2 linked regions of the Oryzias latipes genome follow. The protein of the gene in region 1 purifies or fractionates together with the protein of each later gene. This does not show direct contact. Links are inferred from orthologs where the notes say so. Each region holds a gene or a part of one and is shown in the gene's direction. Other genes may lie near its edges.

Region 1 (6,217 bases):
TCTCAATTCCTTCCACATTTCAATTTGTATATCAACAAGACTCTTCTAGTCTTCTCAGTGTATGAACTAAAACGTTTCCAGACTTTTGGATTTGATAGTCTGGTGTTGGTGAGGAAGAACTTTGAACGCACCACCCTTTAATGTTGCCACCAGAATCATTGTTTGTAGGACACAGCTGCCTCGGTTCAAAGTCATGAAAAGCTAACTATCAACAAGCTAACACAGCTCAGTGAATCAGAGGTTTTATTGAGCTGAATCATTCTCATTGTTGTGTATGCACAAAAAAAATCAAGTAAATATCACAACATTTACAATTTTTCAGGGCATACCAATAACCGATATTTCCGCTGCAACTTTGGCCAATAGCAGATATTTGCCGATACCGTTATTTGCATGTCTGGAGTAACACAACGTTTACATTTCCTTTGTGTGTCTTAGTAGAAATGCACAACTTCACTTTTGCTATTCAGTCACATTGTGCTTGACTTTTTTAACATACAGCAAGGGATCTCAAAGGAACAAGTATCACTTTAAAGCGTTGAAAATATATCTGAAAACATTTAGACAATTTGACATAACTGTAAACCATAAGGAGGAACATAGAGTGACATACAGAAGTGGAGGTAGGAGTACTCAGGTGGACTACATCCTATGTAGACGAGGTCATTTGAGAGAGGTTAATGACTGCAAAGTGGTGGTAGGAGAGAGTGTAGCCAGACAGCACCGCATGGTGGTGTGTAAGATGACTCTGGAGGTCAGGAAGAAGAAGATAGGGAAAACAGAAAAGAAGACCAAGTGGTGGAAGCTACAGAATGAAGAAACTTGTGAGGAATTTAGGCAGAAGTTGAGGCAGGTCCTGGGTGGTCAGGATGAGCTTCCAGAGGACTGGGAAACTACAGCAGAGATTATCAGGGAAACAGGTAGGAAGGTGCTAGGTGTGTCATCTGGAAAGAGGAAAGACGGTAAAGAGACTTGGTGGTGGAATGAGGAAGTACAGGAATGCGTCCAGAGGAAGAGGTTGGCTAAAAGGAAGTGGGATGTAGAAAGGACTGAGGAAGGTAGACAGGAGTACAAGGAAGCGCAGCGTAGAGTGAAGAGAGAGGTGGCAAAGGCCAAACAGAAAGCTTACGATGAGCTTTATGACAGGTTAGACACAAAGGAAGGAGAGAAGGACTTGTACAGGCTAGCCAGACAGAGAGACAGAGATGGGAAGGACGTGCAACAGATAAGGGTGATTAAGGACAGAGATGGAAAGGTGCTAACAACCCAAGAGAGTGTACAGAAAAGATGGAAGGAGTATTTTGAGGAGCTGATGAACGAGGAAAATGACAGGGAAAGAAGGGAGGAAGATGTGGTTGTTGTGGAGCAGGAAGTAGCAGAGATTGGAAAGGATGAGGTTAGGAAGGCTCTGAAAAGGATGAAGAGCGGAAAGGTCGTTGGTCCTGATGACGTACCTGTGGAGGTATGGAAGTGCCTAGGAGAGACAGCAGTGGAATTTCTAACAAGGTTGTTCAATAGGATTTTAGAGAGTGAGAAGATGCCTGAGGAATGGAGGAGAAGCGTTCTGGTCCCGATCTTTAAAAACAAGGGTGACATGCAGAACTGCAGCAACTATAGAGGAATAAAGTTGATGAGCCACACAATGAAGCTGTGGGAAAGAGTAGTGGAAGCCAGGCTTAGGAAGAAGGTGGAGATTTGTGAGCAGCAGTATGGTTTCATGCCCCGTAAGAGCACCACTGATGCCATTTTTGCTTTGAGAATGTTGATGGAAAAGTACAGAGAAGGTCAGAAGGAGCTGCATTGTGTGTTCGTAGATTTAGAGAAGGCGTATGACAGGGTGCCGAGGGAGGAGCTGTGGTACTGTATGAGGTCGTCTGGAGTGGCAGAGAAGTATGTCAGAGTAGTTCAGGACATGTATGAGAGAAGTATGACGGTGGTGAGATGTGCTGTAGGTCAGACAGAGGAGTTCAAGGTGGAGGTGGGACTACACCAAGGATCAGCTTTGAGTCCTTTTTTGTTTGCTATGCTGATGGACAGGCTGACAGACGAGGTAAGACAGGAATCTCCCTGGACAATGATGTTTGCGGATGACATTGTAATTTGCAGTGAGAGTAGAGAGCAGGTGGAGGAACAGCTAGAGAGGTGGAGGTTTGCTCTGGAAAGAAGAGGTATGAAGGTCAGTCGTAGTAAGACAGAATACATGTGTCTGAACGAGAGGGATCAAGGTAGAAGCGTTAGGTTACAGGGGGCTGAGGTAAAGAAGGTGCAGGAGTTTAAGTACTTGGGGTCAACAGTTCAGTGTGATGGGGATTGTGGAAAAGAGGTGAAGAGGCGAGTGCAGGCAGGTTGGAGCGGTTGGAGGAAAGTGTCAGGAGTGTTGTGTGACAGAAGAGTGCCAGCAAGACTCAAAGGAAAGGTGTACAAGACAGTGGTGAGACCAGCTCTGCTCTATGGGTTAGAGACGGTAGCAGTGAGACAGAGACAAGAGGCTGAGATGGAGGTAGCAGAGATGAAGATGTTGAGGTTCTCCTTAGGAGTGACCAGGTTAGACAGGATAAGGAACGAGTACATCAGAGGGATGGCTCATGTTGCCTGTGTTAGCGACAAAGTCAGAGAAGCCAGACTGAGATGGTTTGGACATGTTCAGAGGAGGGATAGTGGATATATTGGTAGAAGGATGTTGGAGATGGAGCTGCCTGGCCGGAGGGCAAGAGGACGGCCAAAGAGGAGATATATGGATGTCTTAACAGAGGACATGAAGTTGGCTAACGTTAGGGTAGAAGATGTTCATGATAGAGTGAGGTGGAAAAGGATGATTCGCTGTGGCGACCCCTGATGGGAAAAGCCGAAAGAGAAAGAAGAAGACAAAACTGTAAACCATAAGCTCCTCATTGCCAGGGATCTATTAGGAAGAACATGTATACCTATCAAGAATAAAATATTCCCGTAAACATTCCATTGCTGACTGTAACTGCCAACATAAGCTTCCCAGTGGCAGGGATCTATTAGGAACAAATATACATTTAAAAATAAAGTGAATCTGAAAACAGTCAGAACAATATCGGTAGATGTTTTTTATATTGGAACGATACCGATAAACTGAAATTATGCAAAGATCAGTCGATACCGATACTACCACCGATATATTGCTTATCCCTAGTTTCATCACCATAATCTTCTTATCTCTGTGTCATATTAACAGTGAGCTCTTTTATTGCCCAGCCTTATTCCAATGTCTGTTCTATGCAGCTTAAGAAAAGTTCAAACTGTTTTTTTTAACTAGAATTTATTTTACTGCCACTCTAAAGGCAGGTAACATTTGGCTCGATAAACTGACAGCACGCTTCCCGTCACTTGCAAGCCTTCGAAGTAAGAGGAGCATCTCTGATCTTACTTTGCCTGCTCTGCCTGAAAAACTGTTTTGGGAAGTGTAAGTGTTTTCAAGTATTTTTAAGCAACTTCATTTAGCCTGAAATGCTACTAGGCTCACTGTATTTAATGACTTTTAATTTTAATGATGTATTGTATTTTATGTCAACAGTGACAGTCTGTTCCGATATCAGTTCAACAAGGACACAAAGTTCATCTCCTTTCATCTCCCGTTTGGCGGCAAAAAGTCAGAAGTCTTGAACCTTCCAAAGTCTGTGTCTGTGCCAGCTATAGATTTAAAGCCGATAGGCTTGTACATCCCAGCCAAAACATATTTTCTTCCAACATTCACCATTCCACCTTCATTGGATTTTAACGCTCCTCTTTTCGGTCTGGGCGAAGTATCAATCAAGATCCACAGCAACCTTTATGACTGGGATGGCTCGATCTCCATGGGCAACAAAACTGTTGATATTCCCAGCTATGTTGTTAAGTACAAGTCCATAGCTCAGTCCCCACTGAGTCTGCTGTCCTACAAACTTGAAGGTAAACATCTTGTTTACTATTGTTTTAGCAAATTTAATGGTCTGAAAAGGAGAGATTAGGAACAAAAACTGTTATAGGAAAAGAGAAGTCAGAAACTACAGAGCTACATCTATGATATTTGTGCCTTTTTTTTAATTGTGTCTTTTTCCCTATTTGCTTTAAGGAATTGGAATGTTATTGGGGAGAGCTGATGAAAACCTCAAATATCTGCTCAGTACTTCTTTTAGCCACATCCTTTTTGACTCGAGCTTCAGTGCTGTGGAAACCTTCAGAGTAGGTAACAAATTCAATGCGGATGCAGATTACAGGATCAAGGCCTCTAGTCCGTTAGGCCTGAACGCCTCTCTGTCCTATTCCGCATATTCAACTTCCACTCTAAATTCAGATGAAGTATCAGGAGATGGTACTGTGGAGGGACATCTTAAACTTGGGTCGCTCTACACCAACACCTCCTTCACTCACAACTACAAAATACATCCACTGGCCCGAGAGGGACAAGGAGAGTCAATGTTTCGCTTTAACTCACCATTTATTGGATTTCAAAACACAATTCAAGGAGTCTATGCTAAGGCTGAGTTGAACCTTGTGTCAAGAACCAGCGCAGCGAGGGACACTTTCAAACATGTGGCAGAGCTAAAGTACAAAGATGCACAACTCATCCTAAAGTGCAACGCTGTTGGCACAGCCATGGGTAAATCATTAAGCAACCAAGTTGAGCTTGGCATATCAAGACAAATGTCCATGCTCAGAATTGAATCACAAGGAGATGATGACTCAAGTAGGATATATTCACTCATTTCTGGATCCCTGGATTCAAAGGGACTTGAAGTGATATCAGAGGGTTCCCTGATCTTTGATGCAGGCCGAGCATTCCATAAGGCATCTGTGAAGATTGGAAGAGATGGCCTTACCTTTGGAGGAACGAATAGCATTCAGTGCAGTCCTGTTACAGTGGAGAATGTCTTTGATGGTGTTTTAGACAACAGTGGAGCATCACTGTCATCCACAACTAAAGCCATGGCGGAAGAGGGCAGGGGAGAGGTGAACATTGAGGGTAAAATCACAGCTTCAGAGGCTACTATCCATGGTGACCTCAAGGGCTATGCTTATGATGCAGCTACAACAAACAACATAAAAATTGAACTGAGAAAAGGAACTCTGACCTTCACTGGAAATGCCAAGGGAACTTTGAGGCAAATGAGAACAGAACACAGCCACACACTGGCCCTTAGCCTGTGGAAACTCTCCCTTCGTTCCAAATCGGACAGCACAATCTGTGACGACATTTACTATAAAGAAGATACTAAAGTTGATATAAAGCCGTTTGTTATATTGATTGACATGAACAATGACCTTGTTTTTTATGACCTTAGTTTGTACAATGAAGGCCATATGAAGCTTGAGCCACTAAGGCTGGATCTCAGTGGAAGTGTAAAGGGAGGCTATGGGGAAGAAAACAACCTAAAACACATTTATGCATTCACCTATGATGATCTGTCTGGTTCTGTGAAATACAGTACATCTGGAACCATGATGAACACCCAATTAAGTCACTTCTGTGAGACAGAATTTGCTGGACTTGCTTCAATATCAAACTGTCAGGCCCGGTTAAATTCTGAACCTCTGCATTTTGATGTTTCCATTCGCACTATGGCCCTGCCCTTCAGTCTGACTATTGATGCTCTTGCCAACGGTGAAGGAGAAATACATCTACATGGGAAGCACAATGGGAGGACATCCAGCAAGCTGCTTGTTAAAATTGCACCACTTGTTCTTGCAATGTCACATGATTTCCAGGGATCAACAATGCACCGTCTATCACGTGGCGAATCTTCCTCTAGTTTAGTTAGCAAACTGGAAGGTCTCCTGTCTCCAAATGACCAATCCATGGATTGGAAAGTTATCTCCAACCTGGACAACCACGTCTTTGAGCAGAGCATCAGTGCCTACAACAATCCTGAAAAGTTTGGAATAGAATTTTCAGAAGTAATTCTAACAGATATTATCAGCAAACATAAGAAATCAAAAAGAGAAAGAGAAAAATTCAGTTTGGCTGGATTTTTAAAGTACGACAAGAACAGTGACTGTCATATCATTGAAATTCCATTCACCCAAAACTTTGCTGTTGCTTTTGAGAGGCTCAAGAACACCATTTTACAAGGCCTAGAATCCCTCCAAAAAATGATAAGAGATTTGGATGTTAATAAGTTAATCACCGACTACAGAGCCAGTTTAGACCAATTACCAAAAAAGGTTAAAAGCTTCTTGCAGGCAATGGACTTGGAGAACAAAGTGAATAAAG
Region 2 (5,314 bases), on another chromosome or scaffold:
TTTTTGACAAGCTCAGTAGCATTTGGTTTCAAGCCTCAGTTTTATTGATTAATATGTAACGATAGAGCAAAGTTAGCTGCTTTATTGACAGATTTATCAAAGGTTGTGGTTGATTAAAATGATTGTACTTTAAATGTCATTTCTTTAAGGTCTGTGAATCAAACAAAAAAAATTAGAAAACATGTTAGAAGTTTATAATTTTTAGGTCTTTTAGATATTCTTCACATCGCCCCTTTTTATTTTTCTATGTTGAGATTTTTGACAACTTAAAAATGTATTTGTATATTAACACGGTTTTTCTTTGTCAACACAGCTCCAAAAATGATGATTTATCAACAGCAATCCTGAAACAAAAGAGCAGGCCCAACAGACTGATTGTTGATGAGTCTATCAATGAGGACAACAGTGTAGTCTCTCTGTCTCAGGTAAAAAAAAAAGGTTTATTCTGAGCTAGAGCAACAAAATCAAATTCTCTCAAGTGTAAAGATTATTAATAACATTACTTTTCAATCAAGGCCAAAATGGATGAGCTGCAGCTCTTCCGTGGAGACACAGTGCTGATGAAGGGAAAGAAGAGACGAGAGACTGTGTGCATCGTACTCTCCGATGACACCTGTTCAGATGAAAAGGTTCGCATGAACAGGGTGGTGCGCAACAATCTGAGAGTCCGTCTCGGTGATGTCATCAGGTGAGAAGCCTGCTTTTTTGTATTTTAATCTCCACCCAGTACCATGTGTAACATGGTTTTTAATGTCACCCTCAGCATTCAGCCATGTCCTGATGTCAAATATGGGAAAAGGATTCACGTCCTTCCAATAGATGACACAGTAGAGGGAATTACTGGGAACCTGTTTGAGGTTTACCTGAAGCCATACTTCTTGGAGGCTTACAGGCCAATCCGCAAAGGTGATTGCTGAGATCCATTGTTAAGTTAAAGACCGATGCCAGTCTATTTTACTGTAAAACACAATGTAACCATTATTTCTCTTAAGGTGACATCTTTCTGGTCAGAGGAGGCATGCGTGCAGTGGAGTTTAAGGTGGTTGAGACAGATCCTTCCCCCTACTGTATCGTTGCTCCTGACACAGTCATTCATTGTGAGGGTGAGCCAATCCGGAGGGAGGTGAGTTTCAGATGTTGGCCCTGGCGGGAGGGAAAGAAATCCAAATAAAGGAAAACTTAAACATTGTATATTTAAACATTTAGGATGAGGAAGAGTCTCTGAACGAAGTGGGCTATGATGATATTGGAGGAGTAAGGAAGCAGTTGGCCCAGATCAAAGAGATGGTGGAGCTGCCTCTCAGACACCCGGCACTGTTTAAGGCCATAGGAGTCAAGGTGAGGAACGCTAACCTGAAGGGAAAATATGGTACTGAATCACACAAGTGGTTTTGTGTGTGATAAATGGGATTGTACACTTAAAATTAAAAAAAAATTTTTTTTAAATAAAGCTCTCACCCCACATTTTTTGTTTTCGTTTTAAATAAGCCCCCTCGTGGAATCCTGCTTTATGGACCCCCTGGAACTGGAAAAACTTTAATCGCCAGGGCTGTGGCCAATGAAACTGGAGCGTTCTTCTTTCTTATTAATGGTATGAATATATCCGTTTGGATGTAAAGTTTTCTAGTATGGGTGAGATGATGCTGAAAGTCAGTGTTCTGATTGGCTATGCTTGTATTTATCTGAATCGTTGTGTTCAATGATATTTTCTTGTTAAAGTATCGTTCTCTCTATTTCAGGCCCGGAGATCATGAGTAAGTTGGCTGGAGAGAGTGAGAGTAACCTGAGAAAGGCCTTTGAAGAAGCTGAGAAAAATGCTCCTGCCATCATTTTTATTGATGAACTTGATGCAATCGCTCCAAAGAGAGAGAAGGTGAGTAATGTAGGGTGGTAACTTTGTCGGTGCACTATGAGTTTTAGGTTCAGGCCCTTGAAAGCACAGCAATTCTTTGTGTATCTTCTCTTTTAAATTCATGTACTAGTGACTGTATTGGCTATGTGCTTTAGATTAGCTGAGACAAAAAAAATATAGACACATTTTACTAATGGCACTCTGCTTTTTCAGACTCATGGGGAGGTGGAGAGGCGCATTGTGTCACAGCTGCTGACTCTTATGGATGGTCTGAAACAGAGAGCTCATGTGATTGTCATGGCTGCCACCAACAGACCCAACAGCATCGATCCGGCTCTCAGGAGATTTGGTAAACAGTCTTTAGAAGCCCTTAGGTCGCTCGTTTTAGATTTCACCCCGCAGCCTTTTATTATTTGAATGTCGACTAGGCCTGCACAATATACCGCAAATTTATTGTTATCGCAATATCAAGCTGTGCAATATGCATATCGCAAAAGACAGCAAATTTGCAATAAATGGTTACCTTAGATGTGGCCAAACAATCTTATGGCAACTTGAAGTGTTTAATGGATTGAAAGTATCCCTTTCTGCATTTGAGCAATCAGGTGGACCCCTTCACGTTGTTAACTAATCGGATTGCGCCCTATTATGTTGTATGTTCGCCTCCTATGTCAACAAGGGTCATTTGTAGTATAATTTTTAAGCTGTTGTAATGGAATGGGAATAATATTTTTGGTTGTTTTGCTAATTGTTTATATACCGCAAATTATATCGTTATCGCAATATTAATCACTGATATCGCATATCGCGAGTTTTCTTCATATCGTGCAGCCCTAATGTTGACTTAAAATGATCCTGTGCAGTTAAGACTTTTGAACATCAGACCTACTTTCAACCATAGAATTTAAGTTGCACTCTATTCCTAAATGTTTGGGTTTTTTTAAGTTTCATTTTAATAAGAAACTTTTTCTTGTTAATGAAACAAATTGTTTTTCCAAACCAGGTTTTCTTAAGAAATCCTGTGGCTTGTTCATTTTGTTTGAAAATGCATTGCAAGTTAAGCTGCTAACATGTTGAAACAAAATTTCTTGCTGGCACTTTAGAAACTATTGTCATCCCAGTAAGGATGAAAAAGTCTATTTCAATTCAAATAAATATATTTTGATTCAATTCAAATTTATAAATTTTCAATTAAATAACTTTTCATATTCTGATTTAAAGAAAAAAAAGAGAATTCCAATTTTTAAAATGGAGGTCAATGTTTTGCCTGGTAAAGAAATTCAACAAATTTAATGAATTAAGTTAGAAGTTTTTAAGTTGATGATCTTATAAATTTTAGGTTTTTAGATAGATGGTAAACTTCTTCATTTTCATTGATCCAATTTTATTTTCACACCTTTCCATTGTAGGCCGTTTTGACAGAGAAGTGGATATTGGCATCCCTGATGCAACCGGCAGATTGGAGATTCTGCAGATTCACACCAAGAACATGAAACTGGCTGATGATGTGGACTTGGAACAGGTTTGTGCCTTCAAAAGTCCTTTATTTTTGTCCAAAATACAACATGTTCAAGTAGATGCCTTTTTCTTGATAAATGATAAATTTCTTTTTTCTATTAGTTTGTGAATATTTTAAGTTAAAATGTAATTAATCATTATCGCAGGTTTTTTTTACATAGTGGTGTAACTTTGGTTTCTACAGTGAATTTGATTGTCTTTTGCAGGTTGCCAATGAGACCCATGGTCATGTAGGTGCAGATCTGGCTGCTCTCTGCTCTGAGGCTGCTCTCCAGGCCATTAGAAAGAAGATGGACCTGATCGACCTTGAGGACGAGACCATCGATGCTGAAGTCATGAACTCACTTGCTGTTACCATGGATGACTTCAAGGTAAACCTGTAATGGAATCGTTTGAAATCATATAGTAGTCCATTAGTACACACAGCTAGCACTGGGCTGGATCAATGCTAACCCGATCAGTGCTGTCTTGCAGTGGGCTCTGAGCCAGAGTAACCCATCAGCACTGAGGGAGACGATTGTTGAAGTTCCCAACATCACCTGGGATGATATTGGAGGTCTGGAAGATGTTAAGAGAGAGCTGCAGGAGTTGGTCCAGGTATGTGTAACATCATATGAAAGTGCCGGGATTGAAATGTCTGGGACTGTGGTAAATGTGCATCCTCCTTCCCTTAATTCAGTACCCAGTGGAGCATCCAGACAAGTTCCTGAAGTTTGGCATGACCCCTTCCAAAGGTGTACTTTTCTATGGTCCCCCTGGTTGTGGTAAGACTCTGCTGGCCAAAGCAATTGCCAACGAATGCCAGGCAAACTTCATCTCCATCAAAGGACCTGAGCTGCTCACCATGTGGTTTGGAGAGTCTGAGGCCAACGTCAGGGAGATATTTGACAAGGTAAGCGACCCCCCCCCCCCCTTTTTTTTTTTTTTTAAAGAATTCATACATAAAGTTGTAAAACGAAATAAACCTGTTTGGTTTTTGTCTTGTCTCCAGGCTCGTCAGGCTGCTCCATGTGTTCTCTTCTTTGACGAGCTTGACTCCATAGCTAAGGCTCGTGGCGGCAACGTTGGTGATGGCGGTGGAGCAGCTGACCGCGTGATCAACCAGATCCTGACGGAAATGGATGGAATGTCGAGCAAGAAGAATGTCTTCATCATCGGAGCCACAAACAGACCAGACATCATTGACCCTGCCATTCTGAGACCCGGCCGCCTCGATCAGCTCATCTACATCCCCTTGCCCGATGAGAAGAGCAGGATCAGCATCCTGAAGGCCAACCTCCGCAAGAGTCCCATCAGCAAGGTGACAGTTGTTCCTCCCACCACCAGGATGTATGAAGCTTTATCTGTGTAACAAAAGTTGTGTAGATTTTTCTGAAGGTCCACCAACTGTGGCATTTGTTTTCAAATCCAATGTAAAAGCAACTTTGGTATTATTGCACAAATGTTCTCTCCACTTGGAAAAAATAAACTAATAGTTTTACAAAATTTAGGATGTGGACTTGGACTTCCTGGCTAAGATGACCAACGGCTTCTCTGGAGCAGATCTTACCGAGATCTGCCAGCGGGCGTGCAAACTGGCCATCAGAGAGAGCATTGAGAGTGAGATCCGCAGAGAGAGGGAAAGGCAGACCAACCCATCTGCTATGGTCAGGACTGTTCAAATGCTGCTTATCCTGGAATGAACATCTGCACTGCTTGGGATTCTTTGTGGACCTAACCATTTCCATCCTGTTTTTTTGTGCCGTCATGCCCTCACAGGAAGTTGAAGAGGACGATCCTGTTCCAGAAATCAGGAAAGACCACTTTGAAGAAGCAATGAGATTTGCTCGCCGTTCTGTCAGTGACAATGATATTCGCAAATATGAGATGTTTGCTCAGACACTGCAGCAGAGCCGTGGATTTGGAAGCTTCAGGTCTGTAGCTGTGAAATTGGAATGTTTTTCC

What was found. The genes of interacting proteins can lie anywhere in the genome.
Region 2: the proteins of apolipoprotein B-100 (region 1) and vcp purify together in Homo sapiens (affinity purification with western blotting, with the first as the bait; 3 studies listed by BioGRID). This does not show direct contact. The link is inferred for Oryzias latipes from reciprocal best matches to the Homo sapiens genes APOB and VCP.

Annotation. Positions count from the first base shown.
Region 1 is NC_019880.2:24,953,724-24,959,940, reverse strand, and holds part of apolipoprotein B-100, read left to right. Parts: intron 1-3,308; coding exon 3,309-3,430; intron 3,431-3,541; coding exon 3,542-3,915; intron 3,916-4,078; coding exon 4,079-6,217. UniProt on the Homo sapiens protein: Apolipoprotein B is a major protein constituent of chylomicrons (apo B-48), LDL (apo B-100) and VLDL (apo B-100). Apo B-100 functions as a recognition signal for the cellular binding and internalization of LDL particles by the apoB/E receptor.
Region 2 is NC_019867.2:13,579,455-13,584,768, forward strand, and holds part of vcp (transitional endoplasmic reticulum ATPase), read left to right. Parts: intron 1-313; coding exon 314-425; intron 426-515; coding exon 516-688; intron 689-763; coding exon 764-906; intron 907-992; coding exon 993-1,123; intron 1,124-1,206; coding exon 1,207-1,338; intron 1,339-1,488; coding exon 1,489-1,591; intron 1,592-1,739; coding exon 1,740-1,873; intron 1,874-2,065; coding exon 2,066-2,201; intron 2,202-3,261; coding exon 3,262-3,374; intron 3,375-3,576; coding exon 3,577-3,741; intron 3,742-3,844; coding exon 3,845-3,967; intron 3,968-4,049; coding exon 4,050-4,262; intron 4,263-4,361; coding exon 4,362-4,670; intron 4,671-4,860; coding exon 4,861-5,016; intron 5,017-5,128; coding exon 5,129-5,283; intron 5,284-5,314. UniProt on the Homo sapiens protein: Necessary for the fragmentation of Golgi stacks during mitosis and for their reassembly after mitosis. Involved in the formation of the transitional endoplasmic reticulum (tER).